Linked DNA regions of Canis lupus familiaris. The protein of the gene in region 6 interacts with the protein of the main gene of each other region in a pairwise test. Links are inferred from orthologs where the notes say so. Each region holds a gene or a part of one and is shown on either strand. Other genes may lie near its edges.

Region 1 (3,500 bases), on a different chromosome or scaffold from region 6:
TGTAAAAATGAGCATCAAATGTTTTCTTTTGCATTTTTGTGACTAAGTTTATGACACACTTGGCTGTACCGGTATGTAGGCCATGGATGTTTGTTTTTGCTTATACTTCCAGTTAATTACTGCGTTTGGTTTTTGTTTATACTTCCAGTTCATTGCTGTGGTGTTGCCTTATTGCTTAGCTTGGTTTTCTTTCGCAAATAATTCAGCTCCTTTTAAAGCAGAAAACGTTAGTTTGATTTTCTTCTATTTTCTCGGATCCACTTAAAAGGGATGCTCTGTGACGGGAGGCCCTGGCACCCTGGGAGCCGGGGACCGCGGAGTGGCTGCAGCGGGTCCTTCGGGTCCTTCTCAACATCGGGTTCGCTCTTTTTGTTTTCAATCTAGTGGCCGAGCAGGCGGAATCCATCGACAATCCATTGCATGAAGCTGCAAAAAGAGGTAGGTGTGGTTGTGTTTCATTGAGGGACACAGTGGAGTTGAGCACACAGATTCTGATTACACAGTTTGATGACTTTTGATCCGTGTATATATATACCCACGTAGCGGACACCGCAATCAAGATCTAGCACATTTCTGTCGTCCCAGGAAGTTCCCATTTCCTGGTAAACACCCCCGCCTGAGAGGCAGTCTCTCTCTCTCTTTTTTTTTTTTATTGGAGTTTGATTTGCCAACATACAGCATAATACCCAATGCTCATCCCGTCAAGTGCCCCCCTCAGTGCCTGTCACCCACTCACCCCAACCCCCCACCCACCTCCCCTTCTACCACCCCTTGTTCGTTTCCCAGAGTTAGGAGTCTGAGAGGCAATCTCTATTCTGCCTTCTATCACCCTAGAGAGATAAAATGTTATTTAAAAAATTGGGGGGTGGGGAGCACCCGGGTGGCTCAGCGGTTGAGCATCTGCTTGAGCTCAGGGTCGTGATCCGGGGTTCTGGGATTGAGTGTGCATCAGGCTCCCGGCAGGGAGCCTGCCTCCCCCTCTGCCTGTGTCTCTGCCTCTCTGTGTGTGTCTCATGAATGAATAAATAAAATATTTTTAAAAAATAAAATTAAAAAAAATTTCCTTCAGTAATCTCAACACAGTGTGGGTCTTGAAAGCACAACCCTGAGATCAAGAGTCAGTCCAATGAGCCAGCGAGGCCATACCCCCATGATTTTCATTTTTTTTAAAAAAGATTTTACTTTATTTATTTATTTATTTATTTATTTATTTATTTATTTATTTATTTATTATTTATGATAGTCACACAGAATGAGAGAGAGAGAGAGAGGCAGAGACATAGGCAGAGGGAGAAGCAGGCTCCATGCACCGGGCGCCCGACGTGGGATTCGATCCCGGGTCTCCAGGATCGCACCCTGGGCCAAAGGCAGGCGCCAAACCGCTGCGCCACCCAGGGATTCCTAAAGATTTTATTTATTCATGAGAAACAGAGAGAGAGAGAGAGAGAGAGAGAGAGAGAGAAAGAGGCAGAGATACAGGCAAAGTGAGAAACAGGCTTCATGCAGGGAGCCCGACGTGGGACTCACCCATGGTCTCCAGGATCACACCCTGGATTGAAGGCGGCACTAAACTGCTGAGCCACCCGGGCTGCCCTGATTTTCATTTTTGAAATGTCAGCCACCAACACTTTTGAGTTCTCTACTTAACCCGTGCTCAGTGGCAGGTGGAAAGGTGCTGTCTGTGACTCCCCGAGCTCCAAGTCTGGTGGGGGAGAGATGTGTGTAACAGATCATTACAGGATGGTGTCAGAAGAACAGCAACTGAAGTATATTTAAGTTAAGCAGGCTGTAGAGGCCGCAATGAGGAACTGGAAGGCAGGCGGGTGGAGGCTTCTTGTGGTTGTAGCATTTAGGAGACTGTTGTAGTAATGCAAGTGAGTGGGGTGCGGGTGAAACTGTGGAGGGAGAGAGCAACAGGGACCGGCCTTGTACATGGGACTTTATCCTGTACATTAGTGGTTTTCCACTGGGGGTAATTCCTCCTTCAAACCCTCGGATATTTGGCAATGCCTGGAGACACTTTGACTGTCATGACTTGGGGATGCTACTGGCACCTTTTGGGTTGTAAATGCTGGGGACATACAATGGTACCCAGGTCTGCCCCGCAACAAAGAATTCTCCAGCCCTGCTGCTGCCAGTAGGGCTGCTGTTGAGAAACCCTACTATGGACACAGGGAGTTTTTATAAGGCCTCAAGGAGGTTTCTTTCATTCTATTCCAGATCTTTTTGAAACATGAATGTGCAAAAGGAAACTACTGGTTGAGAATTGTGCATAAGTAGAACTACTAAGCTGACATTTAAAAAACTAATATTTTTCTGTATGTTAAATAACTGGAATTTAAATAAAGACTTGAAACTAAAAAGCAAAGTGATTTGTGAACTAGATATTTAGACATTAGCCAGAGGGTTTTAAATTGGTAGTTATATTTTAACATATGAGGAGGTTATTTAGTGTTTATTTCCTTATTTTCTTATAAGATCTGAGAATACATTTTAATATGAAAATGAGTAGTATCTACCTGTTCTTAGGTTTGACTCTTTTTTCCCTAATTTCCAGGATTTCACAAAGGAAAAAGTTCCATGTATGTGCATTTTACAGAGTAAGACAACCATAAGTAGGCTCATTTAGGCAACTCTTCCCTTTAACTGACCGTTAGAGACTGATGTTGTACAAGCCACAGAGCTTACTTGTATCTCGTCAGTGACATACACAGTGATCAGCTGTATGTGGGCCAGGCCGTGGATACCATAGACTGAATGTTTCCGTCTGCTCAAGGTTCAGATGTTGAAAGCTAACCCCAGATCAGTGGTGTTTGGAGGTGATTAGCTTATGAGGGCTCTGCCCTCATGAATAGAACCAGTAAAGACCCGGGAGAGCTCTCCTGCTCTTTCTGTCCAGGGGGTGGAAACAGTGTCTGTGAACTGGGAAGCAGGCTCTTACCAGACATTGAATCTTGCTGGCGCCTTGATTCTGGACTTGCCAGAACTGTGACAAATAATTCTTCCCCTCCACCGGCCTCCTCCACCCCCACTTCAAGTTGTTGTTAATGCTTTTCATTAATAAACTGGAAGTGAAAATGTACCATAATGAATGCATTATTGGGTAGGTCTTAATTTCAGACTTGCTGACTAATCCATTCTAGATGGAAATTTATGGAGGGTGAAATTGATTTAAAAGCAAAACCAAAACAACAACAACAAAAAAAACCCAAGCCCTTTTTCTTGTGTTCTTATAAATGCATGATGTTTTCAGGCAACCTGAGCTGGTTGAGAGAATGTCTGGACAACCGAGTCGGCGTTAATGGCTTAGACAAAGCTGGAAGTACTGCCCTGTACTGGGCCTGCCATGGGGGGCATAAAGGTACTGCCTTCTGTTTGCTATCTCATCAGTGTCCACGCTACTGAAAATGTGCTTCACGCAGAGGAGCTGGAGTTACGGAAATGAAAAAAAATTATTCTGCTTAAATCCTTTAGAACATTGTCCAAAAGCCTGGTTCCTG
Region 2 (4,154 bases), on a different chromosome or scaffold from region 6:
TGTATTTTGCATCTTCTGAGCAATAAGTTACTTAGGAGCAATAAGCAGTCTAGTTACTGTTACTGCATCACTGTATCCAGCTCACAGACTGATATTTATTTATTTATTTATTTATTTAGATTTTATCCATTTATTCATGAGAGACACAGAGAGAGAAGGCAGAGACACAGGCAGAAGGAGAAGCAGGCTCCATGCCGGGACATGGGACTTGATCCCGGGCCTCCAGGATCACACCTTGGACTGAAGGCAGGCGCTAAACTGCTAAGCCACCAGGGCTGCTCGACAAGTCCATATTTAATATTAAAAGATCTGTCTGGGTAGCTTGGACTCCTCCCACCAGAGCTGTTTCATAGAAGCATATGTTTGCATAGAATTACATTGGCCCTGTAACTGTATAGCCAGAGGAAACTTTCATTGCTTCACATGTACAGTGTGGGATTTATTCCTGATGTAAAACTTTGCTACTGACAACCAAGTAAACCAGAATTTCAACCAGTAAATCAAGAATTTTCACAATTTACTTGGAAACACAAAGAATTTTCCCAAATGACAATTTGTTATTTTAAGAGAAATGGCTTCAAAACCATCTATCATGGCAATACTATTTTAATAGTTTCTGCTTCTAGCCAAGTTTGAGAAGAAGGAAAAAAAGACAAACATAAGTTGATGAGAAAATCTCATTCCATCAAAAAGAACTCTTAGAAAATACTAATGTTTCAGGTAAACCATTACTTCTTCACCCATAATGTCACCCATAATGAAGGTCCTATTATTCACATGTCTTTAGTCAGCACTGAAAACCCAAAGCAGATGATGCTCTTGACTTATACCAATGGCATTGTGATGATTAATGTAGCTTTCTCTTTGATAAATTTGGCTGTAGTCATTTCAGTATTCACAGATTCCGGAAGATTCAGATGTAATCTGTACTTCTCAGAGACCTCAATCAATAAATCATCCTATTTTAAAAGATGAAAAGAGAAAGTATTTCCTGGTTAAAATATGTGTTATTGTGTCATTCCCAGTTATTCACTCCTTTTCCATAAGAGGAGGATCCCACTTACTGCCATGTGACTTGCAATGAGCTGTACAGTTGCTGTTGTAAACTCCCCGAGGTTTTGAGTTTTTTTGTTATTGCTGCTCAATACATCAAAAGTTAACTGATACAGTGCCATAAGTTGGGTGTTGCCATCCTAGGTTATGTGGCATTGACTTTGTGGCTGACCAGCAAACAGTGAGGAAAATTTACTGACAATAGGAAAAATGGTGATCTGCGTTTTATAGTGATAAAACCCTTCGTAAAACTGATAGTTTTATCACAGTAATTTAAAAGACGTACCTTGTTAATTTGTGGCTTGAGGTAAAGAAGTGTGAAAATAGAATGTTGGTTGCATGCATTGTTTCCATTGACTACATTTAATAAACTACTACAAAAAGAGACGAGCTTAGAAAACAATTTCCCAGTTTGCAAGTAGTATTTTTTTTTTGCAAGTAGTATTTAAAGAATACAGAGCCCAGAAATTCTAAGACATCAGGACTGAGAAATGGAACTAATTTTTATTTTAGCCCAGTAAAAAATAAAATTATTTCATAGCAACAAAGACTGATGAAGACAGCCTAGCAGTAAAGATTGAATCACACATCATATATTACACTCTTTGTTAAAACCTCTCACTGGCTTAAGGTGGAGCTCAGTTAATCCTTACATTTGGCTCACAAGACAGCAATTAAGAAAAAAAAAAAGGGAACTGAAAAATGAATGAACATGTCTAATAAAGAATTATGGGGAGTGGCACTGATCGGAATCAAATAAAACACTACCAGCCTAGACTAAAACATTTAAAATGACCTTTCTATGCCCATCATTCCCAAAACATTTAACAGAGTAAACTGCTCAGCATGTAATGGTGGTATACCCTCCAATGTTCTTTTCCGACGTGGCCAGTGTGAGTCAGAAAAAGGGAAACACCATCCAAAGAATGAAGCTGAAAGTCTTGGAAAACAATGGAACTAGGGGGCTAGGTAATCAAGGAATCTTGTAGTGGAACCTAATCAAGAACATCCTCTACCTGCAGGAGAGATACCCTCATAGTATCTGCCTATCAGGATTTCAGAATTGCTGTGCACCAGTAAGCCTCATATTTTCCCCATTTCCAAACTGAGACTGTTAATTATGGTTATCCTCTCTCCATTCCAAATTGTATGGTGCATGGGGCTATGGCAGTAGATTACTTGTCTTTTCAGCTCATAGGTCTGTGTTCAGGAGGAGAATGCAGATTACAATGGCAAAATCCTATAGTTTAGAGTCTGATACTGGGATTAGGGGTAACTTTCTTGGAGAAAGAAGCAAATTTTTGTCATCTTGAGAGTGGACTGTGGCAGATTCTAGGACTTTTGCCAATATTTTGTTCTTTTTGTGTTAGAGGGGTATACATTCCTGCCATTTGAAGTCAATGACTACCTGTAAGAATATTCTTCCCAGGGGATCCCTGGGTGGCTCAGCGGTTTGGCGCCTGCCTTTGGCCCAGGGCGCGATCCTGGAGTCCCAGGATCGAGTCCCACATCGGGCTCCTGGCATGGAGCCTGCTTCTCCCTCCTCCTCGGCCTCTCTCTCTCCCTATGTCTATCATAAATAAATAAATAAATAATAATAAATAAATAAATAAATAAATAAATAAATATTTAAAAAAAAGAATATTCTTCCCAGCCCTATTGATGGAGGATTTAGCCTTATGCCTTAGCTTTAGACAACAGAATGTGAGTAAAAGTGACATATACTATGTCTGAGAGAAAGTTTAGGATCTATTGCATGGCTTGGCCATTTGTTTTCCTCTTCCATGAGAATGGCATATCTCAAATGGGAATTCCTCCTCCACCTGTATCTTAAAATGTGCAAGAATCCTGGAACAGAGCAGGTCTACCTGACATGTAACCTGAGCAAACTGGTATAAACCACTGAGATTGTGGAGTTTGTTACTACAGCATAATATATTGTGTTGACTGATACAATTTATGGTATTACTTATTCGACTTACCTCAGAAACACTAAGGTCACAGAGAGACACTGAATTAATACCAGGTAATTCAACTTTTATTTCAATTTTCTGAGGTTTCTCCTTCTGGTCAGCCACAATTTTTAATTCATAGGTTGGTTCCTTCATCTCTACCTGGATCTCTGTACTGGAAATCTCCTCAATCAGACATCTTTTTTTGCTTGAAACTTCGCCTTTTGGCAATAAAAGTTGAAAGTGATCTGGATTGCTCAGAGTACTACTTATCTCTTCAAAGGTTAGTTCTTATAGAAAAAAAGGGTGAGATTAAATCATAAGATTAATCAACAACATAAAATATTATCAGGCTATGAACTGTAATAGATGTGGTGTTAGCCAAAATGGCAAATAAAACTGAAACTAAATTCATTTAGGAATCTTAAAAGAATCTTGGGATGCCTGCGTGGCTCAGTGGTTGAGCATCTGCCTTTGGCTCAGGGCATGATCCTGGAGTCCTGGGATCGAGTCCTGCATTGGGCTCCTGGTGGGGAGCCTGCTTCTCCCTCTACCTATGTCTCTGCCTCTCTCTCTGTCTCTCATGAATGGATAAAACCTTAAACAAAAAAATCTTAAACCCAGGGCACCTGGGTAGATCAGTCAGTTAAGCATCTGACTCTTTTTTTTTTATTTTAAAAAATATTTTATTTATTTATTCATGAGAGACACACAGAGGCAGAGATACAGGCAGAGAGAGAAGCAGGCTTCATGCGGGGGGCCCAATGTGGGACTTGATCCTGAGACTCCAGGATCACACCCTGGGCTGAAGGCAGATGCTCAACTGCTGAGCCACCCAGGGATCCCCCAAAGCATCCGACTCTTGATTTCATTCAGGTCGTGATCTCAGGGTTGTGAGATTGAGCCCCGAGTTGGGCTCTATGCTCAGTGGGGAGTCTGCTTGAGATTCTCTCTCTGTCTCCTCTCTCTCCCTCTGCACCCCCCCAAATAAATAAAATCTTAAATAATCTTAAAGAGCTGGGTTAAAAAGTTTGCAGGATTTAAAAATGTTTAAGGACATGTTAATATTTCTAACATCTAATCTTTATATTTTTCTATCTTAAGTTTCTCATCTTTTAAAATCAAGATTTTTGGTTTGCAAAATGTACA
Region 3 (4,294 bases), on a different chromosome or scaffold from region 6:
GATAGTCACACACACAGAGAGAGAGAGAGAGAGAGAGAGAGAGAGAGAGGGGCAGAGACACAGGCAGAGGGAGAAGCAGGCTCCATGCACCGGGAGCCCAACGTGGGATTCGATCCCGGGTCTCCAGGATCGCGCCCTGGGCCAAAGGCAGGCGCCAAACCGCTGCGCCACCCAGGGATCCCGGGTATTAATTATATTAGTCTCATCCAATTTAGATGTGTATTGAAGTTTAAAAGACTCTTTTTTACCTTCACAGTTCTGGGCAACTGATTTTAGGAACACAATTATAGGAAATTATGTTCAAAAATTGCTCAAACAGGTGGGCCAATAAATTGCCCTAATTCTATATGAAGATGGGTATAATGTCCAAAATTGTTCTGAGAAGAAAAAAAGCAAAAACTGAAAAAGAACACAGACCAACTGCAATTAACAGCAGCAACAATGACATAAAATGGTAAAGCCAAGATACAGAGCTCAAAGTAAATAATTTTTTAATGTACATATATGTCTACCGAGTTTTCTAAAGATGATCAAGATATGCAAAGTGCTTTTTCTAACCCCTGTTCCCTCTTTTTTTCCCTTAAAGATGAATGCATTTGTTAATTATTTATTTCACTTATATTATTTCATTTGGTAAGTTAGAACAAATCTAAGAAGGTAACATAGTGCCTAGTATATAAGTCTATAAATCCATTTGTTGACGGAATAAGTAAATGATTTTTTTTGTTATTTTTCCAAGTATTTAACTCAGAAGCAGCTTAATAATTTCTCAATTTACCCTAAAAACATTTTTATGATCTTTGCCAAAATTATGACGTTACATTACGGACACTGAAAACCTGAGATAAAGAACAAATGTTGTCAGTGACAACCATTCGTTCTCTAGAGCCATGCCTTTGGGCTAAGCTCTTACGTTAACCCAAATATAAGAAATTAAAATGAATTTGATAGAATTCAAGATGGAATTCTGTTCTCTATAAACACGTTAGACAAAAATTCTTAAGTGCATTCTGAATAACTATCCTTTAAAAGTGTAACCAGCAATAAGGGAGTATTCCCTTAATCTATATTAGATAATTTATTGTTGGGTTATAGGAATTCTCTCTCAAAAGAATGCTAAATTGCCAATGCGTTAGAAACCCATGGACATAAACTCAAGAGACAAGACATAACGTTTCAGAGAAATTCTGGAAAGTATGATAAAGTTTAGGTTTTAATACATTTAACTGTATCTTCTTCCAATTAACAAATTATTCAATGTTCGACTCTCACGTGCCAAATATTGTGTTAGGCTATAGGTTTTCAATGGCAGAGAAGACAGATATGATTCCTGCCCCCAAATCAGTTACCATTACATATGTTTGTACTTTAAGTCAGTGGTATGTATTTTTTACTCCTCTAACAAATCAGTCAAAATTATGATTAATTTTGTTCTAACCTAGTTATAAAAACATTAAATATCTGTGCTTAGGAACGCCTAAATCTTGTGATGTGACAGTCTTCTGTCTTTTAAAATTTGGATTTCCAACTTTAAAATAAACATGATCAGTATTCTCTGAAGCGTAAAATGCTCTATCATTTGTGCTAATGTGAAAGGCCTATATACATTCCACTGCCTGTAACTTTCAAAAATCTGTTTGTGTTACCGCAGAGGGAAATATCCACCCAGTAGAGGATGCTCGGCTTTACAGAGACCCGAATAACAAAAGTGTTTTCAACAGATTGTAAAGATATTTTAAACGAGGAAGTTAAGCGCAGGAATTAGCCAACAAAAGAGAAGCTGCAAATTTACTAGACCGAAATCAAACTCACAAGTTTTCAAGTTTAAATGTTTACCCGATCAGTTTCCCGTTTTTTTCGTCTTGATATTTAGCAGTGAAGGGTCTCCAGAGTACAACCAGAGACGCTTGAAATCCTGGCACTTTGGTTTGTTCAAATCCGGAGCCGCCTTCAAATCAGTTTTTCAACAAGTGGTGATGGGGAAATAGTTCCTGGGCTTGCACCCTATTTTCCCTGCGGTGCCGGGAAGTCATGCCTTTACTGTAAAACATGAAAAACAAATGGAAAGAAAATATGGGGGAGGGGAGGGAAAGAAGGGGAGATAAAAAGACGAACAAGAACGACGCGGCCACCACGGAGGTGTCCTTAAAACCGCTCTCTTCAGGTGGACTCCACACCACCCATCCGGATCCCAACGTTTACCTCAACGCGGTCCAAGCAGTCCTCTTAGTTGCCCGCCCCCCTTGGCACCTCCTCGCGCGACCCAGGCCCCAGGGTCGGGGGCGGGGGAGAAAGGCGGGGCGCGGGGCGTCCCCGGCGTCTGGACTCCCTCCCCCGCGCCGAGCTCAGCACCCTGGCGCCCACAACCCCGGGCCGCCAGCCGGATGAGGCCGGGACCGAGCCGCGGGCCCGCGAACTCGACAGCAGAGTTGGCGGCAGTCTCAGGAGAGGAGGCGGCAGGCGCCCGGCGGAGGCGTCTGCTGTCAGGCTTCCCGTCTCCTCCCTCTTCCTCCCGCCGACAACGGCGCCCCGGCCCCGCCCCCGGCTCCCGCTTCAGGACCGAAGGCCCCGGGCCCAAACCCCGCACCAACGGCCGGGCCCACCCTCGTTCTCCCTAGCTCCTCGGTACCGTAGGATCGGGGCCGCCGTCAGGGGAAGTGGATGAGACCCGGCCGGAAAGGAAAGGAGGAGGAAGAAAAAAGGAGCACGGGGGTAAGGGAGGCGGAAGACCCGTCGCCGCCGCCGCCGCCGCCGCCGCCGCCCGATCTAGCCCCGCGGCGGCCGCCGTGTCCCCCGCCGCGCCCCGTCCTCTTGCACCGCCTACTGCAAAGCTCGTAGGCGGGCCCCAGCAACCGCCGAGCAGCGCTGACCAACGGACCGAGAGTCTCTCAAACAGACGGTTAATTTGGCCAATGGGAGTTGAAGGGCGGGCATGTGTGTGATTGGCGGCCAGACTTCTCCAATGAGAACTGGGGGCGTGGGTGGGCGGAGCCGGAAGTAGAGACCGCCGAGAGGCCTGTCCGGCTGGGGCGGAGGGAAGGGGGAGGGAACGAGAGGAGGAGGAGGTTAGCCGAGGCAGCTACAGCGGCGGCGGCGTAGGGGCTGGTACGCGCTGGGCGGCGAGAGCCTCATGGCGGAGGAAGAGAGCGATCAAGAGGCCGAACGCCTCGGAGAAGAGCTCGTGGCCATTGTGGAGTCCCCGCCAGGCCCTGTCGGGTTTAGAGCTGCGGGCGACGGCAGAGGTGGCGCTGGCGGCGGCAGCTGCGGGGTCGGCGGCTTTGGGATCAGCAGTCGGGATTACTGCCGACGCTTCTGTCAGGTGAGGCGCCCGTCGGCCGCCTGGACTTGTCACCCGGGTCCTGGGCCTCCCTGCGTCTCCTGGCCTTCTCGTTCTCGAATCAGGGCTGTGTCCGGTGTTCGCTCCCGGAGCCCAACCGGGAGAGAGAGTGAAGATCCCTTCTCCACCTATCCGGCTTGGGGTGGGGGGCAGGGAGCGGGGCTGGGATGACCCGCGGGTTTAGGGTTGCTAGAAAGTGAGAGTTTGTCAGGGGTGGAGAGGTGGCGAGAAGAAGGGTCAGCTGGCAGGAAAGCTGTGTACTGACATTCCTCCTCTGCTCCGAATAGACCCCTTTCCGCCCGAGGGTCCCGCCTTATTGGGTTTCCTACCCTGTTCCTTCTCACTTCGTTTGGAATCTCCGGCAGCATTTCCTGCCTTCCCTCCTCCGCCCCTTGCCCCCCGTATTCTCCCCTTTTTCGGAGATGGGTGGCATGCCATCTCTCTACCGCCCCCTCTCCTGTCATCGCCACCCCTCCCCCTCTGCTTAGGGTCTCCTGTCATCCCCTCTCGGGATCCCACTGGGCCCGTTCTCCAGGTGGCTTAGGAGCTGACCCACTGTTAGTTACTTTGTCGGGAGGTGGAGGTTATGGCAGTGTGATTGTCATTTTTCCTTCTCTTGCGCTGCTTTCCCGACACATGTACTCTCTTTTCTAATGAACTGCTGATAGAGAAAGTAGTTTTCCCTAAAGTGCTGCTCTGGTGACCTCACCACCCCCTTCCATGTTTTAAATTACAATGTATTTTACGCAGCCTGTAAACTGCAGCGTCCGAACGGTGACTGTAAATTATTTACTTGGTCGTCTGCCACTACGATTTATGTACTTTAGAATCTGAATATGATCAAATATTATGGCAACAAAGTGCTTGTCTAGGTGTAAAATTCTTGTAATTTACATTCACATCTACATGTATTTATAGTTTAAACATTTCGTTCTCATTCACAACACAACACTTTTG
Region 4 (4,278 bases), on a different chromosome or scaffold from region 6:
AAGGTAGCCCAGCGTGGAGGCTGAGAGAATGGAGAGAAGCATCTGGATACAAATACCCAATCAGAATGTTGTACATCTAAAACTAATAGAATATGTTAATTTTATCTCAATAATAATAAAAAGGCACCTGGAATTGGGACCTATTTTGTGGGCAGAACTTGGCGGAGGTGCTGAGGGATGGGTGAGAACAAAGGAGAGAGGTCAAGCTCAGTTCTCCAGTGTTGGGTCTACTAGGTGCATGGAGGGCTTATTTGCTGAGTTGAGGGCTTTTTGATGAGATGTGGAAGACTGCAGGGAGATCAGCGTTAAGTGGAGTGGGAGCTGAGGTGGTGAGTTTGAGATCCAAGTGGGGACTGTCAAAAATGTCAGGGAGGATGTTCTCTTCCTCCAGTTAAGTGGGCTAATCTCTGACCTCAGGACTTTTGCACTGGCAGTTCTCTTTCCCATTGGGGGATGGTGGGGGAAAGGCCTCCCCAAATCTGCACATATGGGGCCTTTCTTGGCTTTCTGGCCTTGGCTCAAATGTCACCTCCTTGGTGTCCTTCCCTAACCACCTGTCCCTGCAAATAAGGCCATCAACCCCTTCAACCACCCCTACCTCAAAAACACATCATGTTTGAATCCTCAATAGCACTAATCACTATTGTGGTTAGCTTTACTAGCTCCCCAATCAAACTATGGACTCCAGGAGGGCAGGGTCTGCATCTTGTTCACTGATAAATCTGAGTCGCCAAACACAGAGCCCAACGTATGGTATAGACTCCATAAATTATAAAGTGCCTGGTTAAAAGATTCCCCCTGGACCAAACCCTATGCAGGGCTAGGAGGACCCATGAGATACAGACCTCACCTTCGAGGGTCTCACAGTCTTGCTGGAGGGAAAGAGAGGTCAGCCCTGGATCCCAGAGGAGGTCCCTTACCCAGAGGACGGTCAGGGAAGGCTTCCCAGAAGTGACGGCCGCAACTACCAGGGGAAGACCAGAGGGTTACGCAGCATGTGGAGGCTCTGGTACGGACAGCGATCACTACACCATTTGATGAGAGACGCTCAGGGCCAGAAATTATCTGACATTTCCTGATGACTCGAATCCTGTCCTAGGGCGACGTCTAAGAAGCCATCCTCCTTCCCAAAGGGACAGAAACGAATGGGAAAGCGCCGCGCAACGCGGTGGGTCTCCAGCAGGCGGCAGTGAAAGCAGGACTCTTCATTCATCTCGGGCTGACAAGACGCGAAACAGGCAATAACGGCTCCTCGCGGCTTCCATATTACGGAAACGCATGCGCAAACATGGCCGCGCCCTGGATTGTGGGGCTCAAAGAGTCACGTGACTGAGCAACTTCCCGTCCCCTTCTGCAGGTTTTCCAGAGCCCTACTTCCTGCACTGTCATATAGAAGCGCGTGCCGGGGCTTAGTGCGTTTCGAGGCCGCTGGAGGCCTGGTCTGGGCGGCTGTGATCTGAGAGTGCGGCCGCGGGAGCATGGAGGGTCTTCCGGAAGGGAAGGCACCCGCGGCGGCGCTGGCCGCTGTGCTGAAGCATAGCTCGGCGCTGCCCTCCGAGAGCTCCCAAGTCCGAGGCTACGACTTCAGCCGCGGCGTGGACTACCGTGCGCTACTGGAGGCCTTCGGCACCACTGGCTTCCAGGCCACCAACTTCGGGCGCGCAGTGCAGCAAGTCAACGCCATGGTGAAGCCTGGGGCGGAACTTCCTGGGTTGAGGGGGTGTGGCCTCCAGTAGCGGCAATGCGGTACTGGGGGGCGGGGCTCCCTTGAGAAGGAGGCGTGCCCTTTGTCGGGCGGCCCAATAGGTGGAGAGAGGCAGGGTCCATTCTGGGCAGCGGTTTCCGTGCTGGGGAGAGGACCTTGTGCCTCCCCATCTCCATAGCATCCTACCATCAGGATGAGGTTGGGACTGATGCTAGATAGGAGGCGGGTTGTAGGTAAGGAGTGAAGTGTTCTGAACGGTGCGGTTGAGGAGGAGCCTCAGTCAGGGCGGGGTCTGGGCTCAGATTTGCTTTTTCCAAAGGGGAAAGTGACCAGGCCTGCAGAGGTAGTGCTCTCCAGTTCCTTGAAAGGGGAATAAAACCTGAGCGCGTGCCTTGAGATTTGGGCGGTGAATGGGGCCGAGCCTGCGCAGGGGGCGTTCGTTCCTTGGCTTCAGGTATTCCAAGTAGAAGTGTTTCCTTATTCCTGAGTGGGCAGGCCCCGGGGCTGGAGTCTGATCCTGAAACCCACTTGGAGCCCTCGGGCTAGAGTTTGGGGCCAGAGGGTAACTTGACTCTGCCCTTACACCTAGATAGAGAAGAAACTAGAGCCGCTGTCGCAGGATGAAGACCAGCATGCAGACCTGACCCAGAGCCGCCGCCCACTTACTGGCTGCACCATTTTTCTGGGCTACACATCCAATCTCATCAGTTCAGGCATCCGTGAGACCATCCGTTACCTCGTGCAGCACAACATGGTGGGTACCTGGCGGGGTTGTGGACTTGGCCTCTCTAGGTCTTATGGGCAATAAAAATTATTGGCCACTTAAATGACAGGGAGACAGGATTGTTTTAAGCGGAGGAACAGGATCTACTTTTATTTTGCAGTAGAGATTTTCCCAAGGGTCACTGGATTAGTGTTGGGAATGAGGAGCCCTACCTGGCATGACGGCAGGGCCCCTCTTCCTGGGCCAACCTGATTTGTGGCTGCAGGTGGACGTCTTAGTGACCACAGCTGGCGGTGTGGAGGAAGATTTTATCAAGTGCCTGGCACCCACGTACCTGGGCGATTTCAGTCTCAGGGGGAAGGAGCTACGTGAGAACGGGATCAACAGGTTCGGGGCCCTGAGTGATGCTGGGCAAGGGAGCTGGGCTGAGGATCCTGGGGCCCGATGCCCACATGCCTCATGTTCCGCAGGATTGGAAACCTACTGGTGCCCAATGACAATTACTGCAAGTTTGAGGACTGGTTGATGCCCATTCTGGACCAAATGGTGCTGGAGCAGAACACAGAGGTGGGGCAGGAGCACCCTGGGGGTCGGTGTGGAACTGAGGCGGCCCTGCTGGCTGAAGTCAATGTCTCCTCCTAGGGTGTGAAGTGGACACCTTCCAAGATGATTGCCCGACTGGGCAAGGAGATCAACAACCCAGAATCAGTGTATTACTGGGCCCAGAAGGTGAGGGACTAGGTAGGGCAAGGGTACCAGGCCTTGGCACATGTTAGCTTGTTTCACCTTCATAGCCACCTGGAGAACCATTTCATCATCTCCACTCTTAGGTGAGGAAGCCAACACAGATGTTAGTTTGTCTGACGCTGCGGTCCAGCAGTGGGAGTAATGAGAGCTACCATTCTCCACTGGTTTTGTCTGGTTTCATCACATATGCTTCATCTGTGATGGAGATGCTGTTGCAGTCTCCATTTTACAGTTGAAGAAGCTAAGGCCTAGAGAACTTAGTAAGCATCCTGCCTAGAATCAGGCAGAGAGGAGGGGATGCCACTGGGATGGGGGCCAGTCTGCCTCTGCTGGGCTCTGAGCTTGTTGCTCTCATCTTGCTGTTCCCTAGAACCACATCCCCGTGTTGAGCCCAGCGCTCACAGATGGCTCCTTGGGCGACATGATCTTCTTCCATTCCTACAAGAACCCAGGCCTGGTCCTGGACATTGTTGAGGGTGAGGTGCTAGGGCCACAGAGGAGCAGGGGAGGTAGGGTGGCTGTGTCCACTGCCTGACCACAATGCTCTTCTCCCAGACCTGCGACTCATCAACACACAGGCCATCTTTGCCAAGCGCACTGGGATGATCATCCTGGGCGGGGGTGTGGTCAAGCACCACATCGCCAATGCCAACCTCATGGTGAGTGGGGACACAGTAGCCGGTTCCTAGTGAGGGTGGCACTCGGGCTTGCCATACAGACCTGTGCTAAGCCTACGCCATGTGCCAGGGCAACAACTGTAGACTAGATAGGCCAGGATCCCTGTCCTCCTGGACTGATGTTCTAGTCAGGGAGATAGGTGGCAAGCAAGTGATGTGCATGTCACGGGGCAGTTAGCTGCTGTGGGAAAAAAAATGAGGGATGACAAGTGCAAGAGAAAAAGAAAGGAGTGCTGTTCAGAAAAGGGAAGTTCTGGGAAAGACAGCCTGTAAACAGAAAACAGCCAGTGCAAAGGCTCTGAGGTGCCTGAATTAAATCAAGGGACAGTTAGCAGGCCAGTGAAGGGGACCGAGACAATTAGCAGCAGGAGCCTGGCCTCTAGGGCTGCCAGTTGGGTGCTTATAGGTGCACCCTGGCCTCTATA
Region 5 (4,129 bases), on a different chromosome or scaffold from region 6:
ACATTTTACTTTTTTTTTTTTTTTTTTTTGGCATTTTACTTTTAACAAGACAGGACTTCCAAGTCATTGTCATTGCTTCCAACGAGTAGATATTATGCCACATTTGAAGACAACTAAGAAATGCTGTCACATGTCACAACCTTTATTTTCTTTGAATGAGAATATACATCTCCATCCTCAGGTTCCAGGAAGAGGTTCTAATCTGTGCACAAGCACTAAACATTAAGTCAGCCAGCTTCAAATTACTTTTAGCTTCAGAATCCAGCAACCCTGACACTCACTGCAGACTTATATGTTACTCTCTTCCAAGCTGATTCAAGTGGCCAGACCTGAACAGAAATCCATCTACTAAATGAATAATGGTCCAGCTAACAATTCTCTCTTTCCCCAGGACCACCACTTAGGCCAGTCTTCCATATACTGCAGGCAGATCCAGAACCAGTTACATAATACTTTTTCACAGCTCTCGTGGGGAAAAAAACTGGGGAGAAGATACAGCTTAAATCAAACCAGCATTACTTTAGATAACCAAATTCACAAATGAAGAGATAAGTTCCAAACGAAAGTTTATAGAAGGCACTGGTTTTAAAACAAAATAAAAGGCAAAAGGAAAGTGGGAGAATAGAAAACCTCAAGGACTCAAAAACTAAGATCTGCAACCAGGTAACAAAATGAAATCTGACAAAACCAGTAGCCACTGAATTAAACCAAATACCTGGAAACCTACTTGGGGAAGGTGGCTGAGGAAAGTAAAATCTAGCCTAAACCAGTTTCTGCTCCAAAGGAGCTCACAATTTAACAAGGAGAGAGCAAAGCAGGTCTACAAAGGGTAGGTGAAGCTGACAAGATGCCCAGAGAAAAGGGCAAAATGTGCTTTTAAGACTTTACAGAGATGGGGTGCAATGGATCTCCAGAGGACTTGGGGCAACACAAATTTCAGACCCTTAAAAAGTGTAATTTTTAAAAAAGTGTCTAAGAGGAAACATGAAATTGTTAGATTAGAATGTATTCTTTGTTTTCATAGCAGGTTCCCACTCAGGTCGGGATGGGACGGCCAAGTTCGTTTTTTTCCTGACAAAAAGGAAAAGTTTCTGATGTTGTTAAAAAGTTAACTACCACTAACTACATTAGTTAACTAAACGTGGGCATCGGGTCTGAGGGAGTAAGAGAATGATTTGGAACAGAAAGGAAAAGACAGGAGGCCCAAAGAGGCACAACAAATAAATCCTGACAGCTAAGAACTACGACCCACGCGGCCTTCCGGCAGAAGGCCGCGGGAAGCTGAGGGGCAGGGGATGGGCGGAGTGCCAGGGCTGAATCGAGGTCACCGAGGAGGGCAGAGCGAGCTGTGACGCTGCCGACTGAGGCAGGAGAGCAGCCTCTGCGGTTCTGCGCGGGGGTCGGAGCTGACCGGCACCTTTGACAGAGTCGGAGGAGCGGAAAAGCTGCCTGCCGGGGCCGAGGTGGGCGGACCGGGCGTTTAAAGGTCAAGGTCAAGGTGGGGTTTGGAGAGCGAGGCAGTAGCGTTTTTCCAGGAGGCCGAAGTCATACGAAATGATAAGGATATTATTTACCACTCTCATTTTTAAAAGAAAAGTAAAGGTCTCCCGGGCGGCTTCGGAGTGGAAGCGGCCCTGACAGCAGCGAGTGCAAAACAGGCCGGGGGAGGGCGGCGGGGCCGGGGGAGGGGACGGACAGCGGGATGAGCGCTGGGCCAAGAGAAGGAGGGAGGGAGGAACGGGCCGACGACACGCTCGGGCTCGGGCCCAGGGCCACCGCCGCACTCACTTGCCCTCCTGGCAGTCGTAGAGCACGATCGAGTCGTCGTCGCTGCTCGAGATGACCGTCTCGCCGTTGGGGCTGAAGTCGAAGCAGTTAATCTTGTCCGAGTTCTCGCGAAACACCTTGGCGACGCGGAAACTCCGCAGCACGCTGTCGGTCAGCTTCATGGCGGCGGCGGCTGGAGGAGGCGGCGGCGGCGGCGGCGGCGGCGCAGGGCTGGGGCGGGGCCCGGCGGCGAGCGGGCGGGCGGACTGACTGCCTGCCGAGGGGCCGACCCGGGCGGGGCGGGCGCCGCGCCGGCGGCGAGCGTAAGGGCAGCCGACAGTCGGCCCACCTCCTCCCCTTCCTCCTCCTGCACGTGCGACGCTCTTCGGGCCAGACTGCGGGGGCTCGCGGACCGTTCCTCCTCACGGTCGCCTCAGGGCCAACCGGCGCGACGCCGGCTCATTGTGTCCGCCATCTTGGGACGACAGGCAGAAGCCGAGGGCGAGGAGCCTTACCGCGGCGCACGCCGGGAAAGGGGGCGGGGCGGAGCGGGGGCGCGAGGCGGGCCGGTGGGGCGGTGACGTCAGTGCGGCCGCCCAGGAGCGGAGTGGAGTGGCGGGGTGCCCGAAGGCGGCGATTCTCTGGCGCGCAGTGGGGCCCGAGGGGCGCGGTTGTCCACCGCCTTCCCGCTGGGCCCGGAGGCAGCTGTGCCTGGGAGCCGTGAGCCTTTGCGCAGGATCGCAGTCCCCCTTAGAGGCTCCCCCTTCCCCAGGATCGCAGCCCCCCCTAGAGGCTCCCCCTTCCGCAGGCCACGGGGAGCAGGTACTGCGGGGGTCGGCTGCGCCACTGGAGGCCTGTTCTGGGGGTGAGTCAGTGGACCTATGGCTGGCGGGCTCTGACTGCTCGTGCACTACAGCGCCAGCATAGTTTCAGTTTCAGGTGGGTTGTTTGGTTTGGTTTGGTTTGGTTTTGTTTTGAGGTGTAATATACAGTAGCCTGCACAAAGTTTAAGTGCTTTTTTTAAAAATTTGGATATATACCTGTGTGACTCCTACCCAGAAGTTTTCTTTAAGCCTTCCTTAAAAACTTTTTAATTGACACATAACATGAAGTGCATAAAGTGAACGGATTTTAAGTGTACAGCTCCACACACTTGTAAGCACTTTTTAAGACATTTATAGCCTCAGAACTCATAGCATCAATTGCATGGAAATTTTTTAAATGGAGTTTTATCTCCTTATTCAACAAAATACAATTTTAAGTTCTCCAGATTTCCTCCTTTTTCGCATCTCTACGTGAACTTTATAAGTGCAACCATCTTTTTTTTCCTAGGTCAGTATTATATATTAAACATTTTTCCATGTTAGTAAACCGAATTGGCGGTGGTGTTCTTAATCGAGGTATCATTTATGTGCAGTAAAAAAAAAAACTGGCCTTTTAGGGACATCTAGGTGGCTCAGCAGTTGAGCGTCTGCCTTGGGCTCAGGGCGTGACCCCAAAGTTCCAGGATAAAGTCCCACATCGGGCTCCCTGCTTGGAGCCTGCTTCTCCCTCTCCCTCTGCCTAGGTCTCTCTGCCTCCCTTTCTCTGTGTCTCTCAAGAATAAATAAATAATCTTAAACAAACAAACAACCCTGACCTTTTAAATGGATAGATTTATAAGTTTTGACACCCATATTGAGTTGTGCAACCACCACCACATTCAAGATATAAAACAGTTACATAACCCTCTTTGTAGTCAATGGGGTTGTCTCAGTGGTTTGTTTAAGGATTCATTGCCTTAAAAGGAAGGAAAATTGGTCTCTAACAAAGGAAAGTGATATCTGATCACAAAAAAAGGTACCAGGCACCTTGGCTTTAACTTTCTATGCAAGGGGTCAAACTCAGTGCAACCTATGGGAGTTCATAGATCTCTAACTTGTGGGCAACTCTTCAAAGACTAATTGCCTGGGGTCTTTAACAATGGAGACAGGCCTGTTTATTTTGCTTCACTAAACTGCAGTGGCTAAAGAGGAAGAAAAAGGAAGAGGAAAGACTTAAACATTAAAATCAGCTGTATTAGGAAGATGTGATATTCAGAGATCCAAGTATAACCTGAATAATGAATGGTAAAAAACAAAACAGAAACCCTGGGACAGATGAGTCTTTCTAGAAAGAACTAAAGGATGTCCCTGGGTAAAGGGAGAGCCAGGATCCCTACACATAAAGAGAAGTTGTTCTTTGAAGGGAGTGGGCAAGATCCTGGCTAAGTCTCGGCTGCGACTGCCTCCTGACAAAGAGCAGAACTTCTGGCTACAGCGTGTTCTGGGATCTGGCAAAAGCCTGTTTGAGCGTAACCCAAATGTATGGCAACTTTCCAAAC
Region 6 (4,214 bases):
TTTTAAAACATATTTTACCAAAGACAGTACTACTGATTAGTAAACAGAACTATGTGTGCCTAAGAACACTTTGCACTTTGTACTGGCACAAGGACGAGCTTTAATTCAGACATAAAATAGCTAATTTTACTTACATTAAACAATACAGAATTATAAATATAATAGAGTAATGACTGCCTACCCATTCCCTACATGAGACAGGGAACATTTTTGTTAACAATACCTGTTCTAATTAATTGTGTCAAAAGACAGAAATCAAAGTGTTAAAAAAAAAAAAAAAAGGCAGTAAAGAGAGCTTAATAGACCCCGGTCTGTGAAACCCTAAATAATTAATTTGATAATTTACCTAAACAAAATTTAGAATCATACTTACATACATATGATATATACACACATATATATTAAATTTCCAGTTACTCATGATACTTAAATAATTTTGCTAATGAGCCTCTGATCTGTTAACTTTTACATTCTACAGATAACATATTCAGCTACACATACCTATTTACATATGACATCCGGTAAGAAAAGAAGAAATGGTCTTAAGTGCCTGGTAATCAATAAAAATATTTTTTGAGGTTTTAATACTACCTTACTACAAGTAATCTAAGCTAGGCAACGATAACTAATTAAGCAAAGTTTTTTTCCTATTACTCTTTCGGTTTAACTACTGTTTCAAAACAGGAAAAGAATTTATAATTTACTGATGAGTCTTTTTCTCTAAGGCCTTTACAAGTGATTAAAAACAATACACCCAGACTCCTTTTTTAAAATTTCTTTGGCAGTTTTCATACAACTGAATTACAATTTAAATAACTTGTCATATTAAATACTCCCATTCTAATGCAACTCCAGAAAAGGAAAGAAAAAAAAAAAGATAATGATCCTACGACTTTTCATTCCTTTAAATTCTTTCCCCTTCAATTTAGGAAATCAGTCCTCACAATAGCACAAAATACAGTGCCATTCAACAAATTTAAATTGTATCACATCGCTGAATGATGGGGGCGGGGGCGGGTGGGGGGGGTCTTACCTTACCCTCTATGTAAATGGTTCTTTTAAAAGAATCACAGGTATTACACTCGTGCCACATATTAACGAAGTTTGGTTAACTTGCCAGCAGTCAGACTTTTCTTTTCTTTTTTTTTTTACTTATAATGCTCACCGTTCTCTCTGACTCTCATACAAAAAAAATCTCTGTCAACCAATAAATCAGCCAAATATCTCAGATCATCTTTGCCCTCTTCACCCTCTTCATCTCAACGTGCTTTTAAATGATAAATTGACAAAATTATCTGAAAGTTTGGGGTCACTGAAGTGGGTAAAGAGAAAGTTGAAATATTTTAAACTTGTATTCTCACATAAAAACCACAGACAAACCGAAATCAAATGTCATGTGAACCACCCCAATTTCCTTTTCGGCCTGCAGCAGCAGCTAATGGCATTGTTCTGCTCAATCTTCTTTTAAAAAAAAAAAAAAAAAAAAAAAAAGCTTTCTACTTCCTCTTCTCCAGACACCAGCCTCCGAGGGTCACCAAGCCAGGGTCTTGGGAGGGCGCGGAGGAAGCATAAACAAGCCCCCCCCCTTCAGCCTCCTGGCCCAGCGCTGAGCTCTATTGTAAGGCCTCCCTGCCTCGAAACCGCCCCATGAACCTTGCCAGAATCCTCTCCAAGGCCACCTCGAGCAGAGCCCGCTGGATTTACTTCCCTCTAGGTTACAGGCAGATCTAAACCCCGGCTGCATATCATATAATAATAATAATAATAACAATAACAGGAGGCTCCCTCCTCTGCCCTCCAACTTTTTTTTTTCTGGGTAAACTCGTCGTCCACTCCCCCTGCCCCCAAAGCAAGAGATCTACGCATCTATCTATAAACGGAAAATAAATTGTTACCTGAGTGATGCAAAGTTTTCATTGCTAACTCCTATTTGAAAGCCCGGACACTCCCCTGCCTTCCAACGAAGAAATTAAAAAAAAAAAAAAAAAAGATAACGTCTCCGTAAACCAGAAAGTACCCGCTTTAAAGTGGAAATCATCCACTCGGTTGAAACAACCTTTAGGACCAGGTAGGGCACCCCCGGGGGGGGCTCCTAACCGAGCCTCTCGGTGCCACTCGGTGCCACTGTCAGCACATCAGCGATCACCGGCTGGCACTTGATGAAATTGAAAAGAAAGAAAAGAAAGAAGAAGAAAAAAGAAAAGAAAAGAAAAGGAAAAAGAAAAGAAAAGAAGAAATAGAAGAAAAGGCAGAGCACTCCCTCCTGAGGTCTTCACTCCTGTTCTAAGACCTAAAGCCTGAGCAATTCAAATAAAAACCCATTTTGCAATACGTGACCTCTCGGTCCTCCCGGCGTGAGGTTCCCGGTAACTGCTCTGACCCTAAACCATCAGGGCGCCGGGACGCATCCTAACGGCCTCGGGTCACCGCCCGGGACTCGCATCTCGCACGCAAGCCGGGCCGCCCTCCCGAGGCCGACGACGCGCGGGCCGAGGCGACCCAAGGGCAGGGGCGCCCGCGCGCCCCGAGACCGCCGCGCCCCCCGCCGCCCCGAAAGCTCGGACCCGCGCCGCGGACACTCACCCGAGGCCATGGCTCCGCTCGCCGCGCCGCCCGCTCCAAGCGTCCAGACCCGAGGCCGCACGAGCAGCCCGCGTCGGTCCGGCGGCCGAGGGACTCTGCCGGCGGGCCCCCCGGTGCCCCTGACCACCCCCGGGGCCTCCTCCTCCTTCCCGCCCTCCTCGGGGCTTTGCGGCTCACACCCTCCCACCCCCTGAGCGCTCGCGTCCGGGATCGCCGGCTGCGCCCGTCCGGCGTGCGGGAGCCAGGCGCAGGGGGCGGAGCGCCGCGACAGCCGAGCGCCCGCCGCGGCCCGGAGGCTGAGGCCGCCCGGCGGGAGGGGAATTTCCCGCGACTGACGTAGGCCCCCCCGGCCCCCCCGCCCGCCCGCCGCGCGCACGCCCCGCCCCCTCCGCGCGCCCCGCCACGCCCCCTGCGGCCCGGGGGGCTCCGCGACTGGGTCGGGGCCGCGGGGGGAGGCGGGAGCTTCGGGAGCGCGGGGGACGCCGGGAGCCGGGCGGTGACGGTCCCGAGCGTGCGAAAGCCGCCGGCTGCGGAGAAATCCCCCTCCTCCAGGTGGTTCGGAGGCGCGTGGCTTAAAGTTCAGGAGCGGGTGGGAGGGTGCGCTGACGTGCCGGGGGGCCGGCCGCTGGGAGCGGGGGGGCGGGCCGGGCGGCGGGGGGGGCGGCTCTCCCGGGGCGGCGGCGCGGGGGGGCGCGGGGAGGGAGGAGAGCGGGCGCGAGGCGGGGGGGGGGGGGCGGCGGGCCGGGGTTTTCAATGGGTGGTTCCCCCTCTTCCCAATTTCGTACATGCAAATCTCCGCCCCCGCGCCGCGCGGACGTCCCGGTGAGCCCTGGCGGGGAAGTGCGGAAGCCGCGGCGTCGCCTCTGTTCTTCTGTGATGCGCAGATTTGCATTTGGGGACCCCCGCCGCCGGATCGCCCCCCGCCCCCATTCTGCCTCCGCCGGCGGAGGTTCTGTCTGCTTCACCTGCGGCAGCTCTTGAGGCTCTGGAAGAGCCGCCCTGCGAGTTGGGTGCCTCGTACGCGCTGTGCTTGGTGAAGGAGACGCCGTCCGGGATCTGACGGATAGACTCCCACGGGGAAGGGGATAGACTCCCACGGGGAAGGGGGTGGGGAGGGGATAGACTCCCACGGGGAAGGGGGGGGAGGGGGATAGACTCCCACGGGGAAGGGGGTGGGGAGGGGATAGACTCCCACGGGGAAGGGGGTGGGGAGGGGATAGACTCCCACGGGGAAGGGGGGGGGGGGGGATAGACTCCCACGGGGAAGGGGGTGGGGAGGGGATAGACTCCCACGGGGAAGGGGGTGGGGAGGGGATAGACTCCCACGGGGAAGGGGGGAGGGGGATAGACTCCCACGGGGAAGGGGGTGGGGAGGGGATAGACTCCCACGGGGAAGGGGGTGGGGAGGGGATAGACTCCCACGGGGAAGGGGGGAGGGGGATAGACTCCCACGGGGAAGGGGGTGGGGAGGGGATAGACTCCCACGGGGAAGGGGGGAGGGGGATAGACTCCCACGGGGAAAGGGGAGGGGGAGGGCGATAGATTCCCACGGGGAAGGGGGAGGGGGATAGATTCCCACGGGGAAGGGGGTGGGGACGGGGATAGACTCCCACGGGGAAAGGGGTCGGCAG
Region 7 (3,500 bases), on a different chromosome or scaffold from region 6:
ATGTGGGCCTGCCCTCTTCTGGGGCCCTGTAACTTTTGTGCTCCTTTGGCCTGGGGCTTCCTCTCTTTCTGCATGGTTTACTGCTGTTTTGAGCAATTTTGGTTGACCCATCCTTTCCCTTCTATCTTTCCCACTCTCTTCCAGTTCTTTCTTCTTAATTTTTTAAAAGATTTTATCTATTTATTTGAGAGAGTGCACGAGGTGGGGGGGCAAAGGGAGAGGCGGGGAGCTGGAAGCCCAACACAGGGCCTGATTCCAGAACCCCGAGATCATGACCTCAGCCGAAGGTAGACACTTAACTGACTGAGCCACCCAGGTGCCCCTCGGTATTTTCTTCTTAATCAGACACAGAGGGGGACCTGGCCAGGACAGAGGAACCAAGGCCTGGCCAGCAAAGCAGAGGAAAGAAAAAAAAAACCTTCCTCGTGGGAAACTTCACTGCTCTGGCATCTTTAGGTTCAGCCTGTGCTGTCAGTTTCTGCCCTGAGACCAGGTCTCTTGGGCCCATTTCCCAGGGCTGCTTCGAGCTATGTGCTAGAATGCTCTCCACTGGCACTTCCTGCTGATGGGAGCAGATCCTTCCCCCAGTGATGATGAGTCAGCTTTCAGAGCTCTTCCCACTTCCTGCTTTAGACCTGTTGCCCAGTTCACGCATTGGAGAACATACTGGATGTCGTCTAAGTGCCTCAGTCAAGGCCTCCAGACAGACCCAAGAGGCCTCCAGATGTGAACTAGGGGCATTCGAAAGCACCAGGGTGGCATAGTTTCCATTTTGATGTCAAATGTGTGAATCACTATTACAATTTCAGATAAAGGTAGTAACTCACACTATAATAATACAGCATCATCTTGGTGGCCAGATCCTATCACCTTTTTAAGTATTTAAACTCCATAAAGACAGCAATTTTTGTCATTTTTATTCACTGTTTTATCCCATGTACCTAGAATGGTACCTGGCACATGGTAGACATGCAACTTTTTTGTCAAAAAGCACTTTGGGCCTTCGTTGAGTAAAGCACAGCTGTGGAAATGGAATTTGTGGTCCTCTTTGTGAGAGCATCAATGACAGAGCATGAGATCGGTGAAAAAAACTGATGTGATGTGGAAAACCTAAAAATACCACGTTTGGAGACCAGACGCCCTCCCTCCACCAGCCTTCCCCCCACACACAAACAAAGTTCTCCTGATTTTCATAGTCTGCTTGAATTAATTTTAACTTAAGCTTGGTTTTTGTTCTTTGGGCTTTTTTTAAAGCATTAAAAATGAATAAATCTCCTCTTCCTCCTCCTCCTCATGTTGCATCATTATTTCCAACAAGTAACTTTCAATCAGGGACTCTGAAGGCTTTTAGTACCCAGTGAATATGTGACAGAACAACAAGTGAATGAGTCAAGGTTTTGTGTTCATCACAAATGTTATAACTGGGTTATGGTCTTTAGCTTTCAAAATGTGACCTGTTCTTTATAATTATGACCTGCATAATTCTTAATGAGGCACTCTCAGTGTTAAGCCCTCCAAGTAGAAGAGGGGGAATTTGTTTCCATTTTCATTTAAGGTTTTAGTCAGGGTATTTTCAGATATCACAGGACACATATTTTCCCCTTAAAGGAAATGTTTGGAGTTCCTGCTGAATACACAGGCATGCTGGCTAATTAGGGTAATTAATTGGATAGAGAGGATGAGAGATGCTCCTGGGATCTCTGCTTACCTCCTGTATGCCACACACGTGTACACGCATGTCCACACTGGCTTTATCACATTCAGACACTATCTTTGAACTGGCATATGTTGTACTGGCGTGGGGGCAGTGCTGATGGGGGTGGTATGGGTGGGGAGCCTGCTTAGAAGTTAATGCAGAAGATGCTAGAAAAATCTGTTGTGTCAGATGGCCTGCAGCTTCCAGATGCTTTGCGATCAGACTGTGCCTGGGCTCCGGGGCCAACGGGAGCATGACCAGTGTGTCCCAGGCCCCCCTCATCCCTGGAGAGCAAATGCCCTCCTCCTCTCAGCTTTAATCAGGAGCTGCTGCTGATGTTGCGTAGAGCAGGGCAGACCTTGAATAGTGATATGAAAATCAAGCCAATCAATCAGCATTAGCAGTAATGACACAAGCTGGTCTTGTCATTTCCTGAGCTGTCTCGATGTTATTTTAAAACTGCCTTTTTGAAAAATCTCTTTTACAGAAAGGAAGAGGTTTTATCAGAATGTCAGCATCACACAGGGTGAAGGTGAGTGTCTGAAATTTTGACTGCCTCTTTTTCTTTCTTTCTTTTTTTTTTTTTATTCTGTGAATGGATAGAAACATTTTTCATCTCTAGCCAGTTTCAGCGGTGAGATTACCCTTCGTGCTTTTGTTGGATGGGTTTCTGTAAGCCCTCCATGAAGGGACTCACAGTTGTCTTTGTCTGTACCCATTCAAGTAGCTAAATATAGGAATGGTCACTCGATTCCACTTAACAATCCCTGAGAGGTTTTCATCTGATCTTTCAAGGTGGCTTTGAGATAAACCTGGACCACAGGAAGCTGAAAACTCCCCAAGCCAAGCTCTTTACTGTCCCCAGCGAGGCCCTGGCCATTGCAGTGGCCACTGAATGGGACTCCCAGCAGGACACCATCAAGTTCTACACCATGCACCTGGTAACAAGTTCATGAACCTATACCCCGATGCCTGCCGCTGGCTTCCTAGGGTACCTGGCAAAAATTGCAACTCCTTTCCAAATTCAGATAAGGCCCTCGGGGGTGGACTCCTGCCATACTTGCCTCCTTGAACATGCTGTCCATTCCGCTCCTGGCTTGGCCCCCATAGTTCCCCTGCTCAGAACGCCATACTGGATGGCTGGTTCCTCCTCTGGTCTCAGGATAGGTGTCACCTTCCCTGTCCGCCTAGCTCTCTTATTTTCTTTTATGACACCTGTTCATTTGTTTTGCCAGCACTTATGCAATTTGTATTTGTCCATTTTATGCTTGCACGCTCATAGTCTGTCTCTTCCACCACCCTGTGAGCACAGAAGGGCAGGGCCACATCTCTCTTGCTAGTCCATAGCCGGCCCTGGCCCGAGGTTCAGATGGCATGCAGTATTCGTTGAGTGCAGGAACCCACGGGGCCAGGTGGGTGAGGTGAGACAGCTGCCCTTGAAGCTGGTGCCCCATCCCACATACAGGTGGCTCACTGAGGCACTGAAGCAGGCCGGGGAAGGGGCTGGCTAAACTCTTCGGGTCCAGGCTCTGCAGGCTCCAGACTGTCACCTTCTCAGTCCCGTGTCTCCATCTGCGAGAGGTGAGCACGGTGGTCAGGATGGGATAATGTGATGCCTGGAAAGTCTTTGGCGTGGTTCTTGGCATAGAGCTAGCACTCAGTCAACCCTGGAAACGGAGTTGTCGTCCTGGTCATTCCTGTGCTTGGCCTTGACATACAGACCCAGGCGGATGTCCTCAGCGTCTTCATACCTTGCCACCGGGCTAGCCTGCTCCTTTGGCTGTCTGATGAAATTAGCGTGACA

The links.
Region 1: the proteins of REL (region 6) and OSTF1 interact in binary tests that used the Homo sapiens proteins (3 or more experiments, as listed by UniProt). The two-hybrid records come from large-scale screens. The link is inferred for Canis lupus familiaris from reciprocal best matches to the Homo sapiens genes REL and OSTF1.
Region 2: the proteins of REL (region 6) and PIH1D2 interact in binary tests that used the Homo sapiens proteins (3 or more experiments, as listed by UniProt). The two-hybrid records come from large-scale screens. The link is inferred for Canis lupus familiaris from reciprocal best matches to the Homo sapiens genes REL and PIH1D2.
Region 3: the proteins of REL (region 6) and CGGBP1 interact in binary tests that used the Homo sapiens proteins (3 or more experiments, as listed by UniProt). The link is inferred for Canis lupus familiaris from reciprocal best matches to the Homo sapiens genes REL and CGGBP1.
Region 4: the proteins of REL (region 6) and DHPS interact in binary tests that used the Homo sapiens proteins (3 or more experiments, as listed by UniProt). The two-hybrid records come from large-scale screens. The link is inferred for Canis lupus familiaris from reciprocal best matches to the Homo sapiens genes REL and DHPS.
Region 5: the proteins of REL (region 6) and GLYCTK interact in binary tests that used the Homo sapiens proteins (3 or more experiments, as listed by UniProt). The two-hybrid records come from large-scale screens. The link is inferred for Canis lupus familiaris from reciprocal best matches to the Homo sapiens genes REL and GLYCTK.
Region 7: the proteins of REL (region 6) and ATPAF2 interact in binary tests that used the Homo sapiens proteins (3 or more experiments, as listed by UniProt). The two-hybrid records come from large-scale screens. The link is inferred for Canis lupus familiaris from reciprocal best matches to the Homo sapiens genes REL and ATPAF2.

What each region holds. Positions count from the first base shown.
Region 1 is NC_049222.1:83,747,856-83,751,355, reverse strand, and holds part of OSTF1 (osteoclast-stimulating factor 1), read left to right. Parts: intron 1-384; coding exon 385-438; intron 439-3,253; coding exon 3,254-3,361; intron 3,362-3,500.
Region 2 is NC_049226.1:21,090,454-21,094,607, reverse strand, and holds the end of PIH1D2 (PIH1 domain-containing protein 2), read right to left. Parts: intron 3,296-4,154; coding exon 3,036-3,295; intron 960-3,035; coding exon 825-959; 3' UTR 501-824; downstream 1-500.
Region 3 is NC_049252.1:521,020-525,313, reverse strand, and holds the start of CGGBP1 (CGG triplet repeat-binding protein 1), read right to left. Parts: upstream 2,801-4,294; 5' UTR 2,630-2,800; intron 2,350-2,629; exon of another isoform or gene 2,203-2,349; intron 2,041-2,202; 5' UTR 1,813-2,040; intron 1-1,812. Other genes in the region: ZNF654 (zinc finger protein 654), read left to right, coding at 3,131-3,319. UniProt on the Homo sapiens protein: Binds to nonmethylated 5'-d(CGG)(n)-3' trinucleotide repeats in the FMR1 promoter. May play a role in regulating FMR1 promoter.
Region 4 is NC_049241.1:49,833,014-49,837,291, forward strand, and holds the start of DHPS (deoxyhypusine synthase), read left to right. Parts: upstream 1-1,478; coding exon 1,479-1,685; exon of another isoform or gene 1,686-1,727; intron 1,728-1,785; exon of another isoform or gene 1,786-1,898; coding exon of another isoform or gene 1,899-1,938; intron 1,939-2,024; exon of another isoform or gene 2,025-2,159; intron 2,160-2,294; coding exon 2,295-2,459; intron 2,460-2,694; coding exon 2,695-2,816; intron 2,817-2,899; coding exon 2,900-2,996; intron 2,997-3,071; coding exon 3,072-3,158; intron 3,159-3,546; coding exon 3,547-3,652; intron 3,653-3,731; coding exon 3,732-3,835; coding exon of another isoform or gene 3,836-3,853; intron 3,854-4,278. UniProt on the Homo sapiens protein: Catalyzes the NAD-dependent oxidative cleavage of spermidine and the subsequent transfer of the butylamine moiety of spermidine to the epsilon-amino group of a critical lysine residue of the eIF-5A precursor protein to form the intermediate deoxyhypusine residue.
Region 5 is NC_049241.1:37,900,197-37,904,325, reverse strand, and holds the start of GLYCTK (glycerate kinase), read left to right. Parts: upstream 1-1,329; 5' UTR 1,330-1,463; intron 1,464-1,788; coding exon of another isoform or gene 1,789-1,949; exon of another isoform or gene 1,950-2,258; intron 2,259-4,129. Other genes in the region: WDR82 (WD repeat-containing protein 82), read right to left, coding at 1,789-1,949.
Region 6 is NC_049231.1:62,276,094-62,280,307, reverse strand, and holds the start of REL (proto-oncogene c-Rel), read right to left. Parts: upstream 2,801-4,214; 5' UTR 2,594-2,800; coding exon 2,584-2,593; intron 2,468-2,583; exon of another isoform or gene 2,338-2,467; intron 1-2,337. UniProt on the Homo sapiens protein: Proto-oncogene that may play a role in differentiation and lymphopoiesis.
Region 7 is NC_049226.1:41,700,599-41,704,098, forward strand, and holds part of ATPAF2 (ATP synthase mitochondrial F1 complex assembly factor 2), read left to right. Parts: intron 1-2,183; coding exon 2,184-2,228; intron 2,229-2,491; coding exon 2,492-2,637; intron 2,638-3,500. UniProt on the Homo sapiens protein: Plays a role in the assembly of the F1 component of the mitochondrial ATP synthase (ATPase).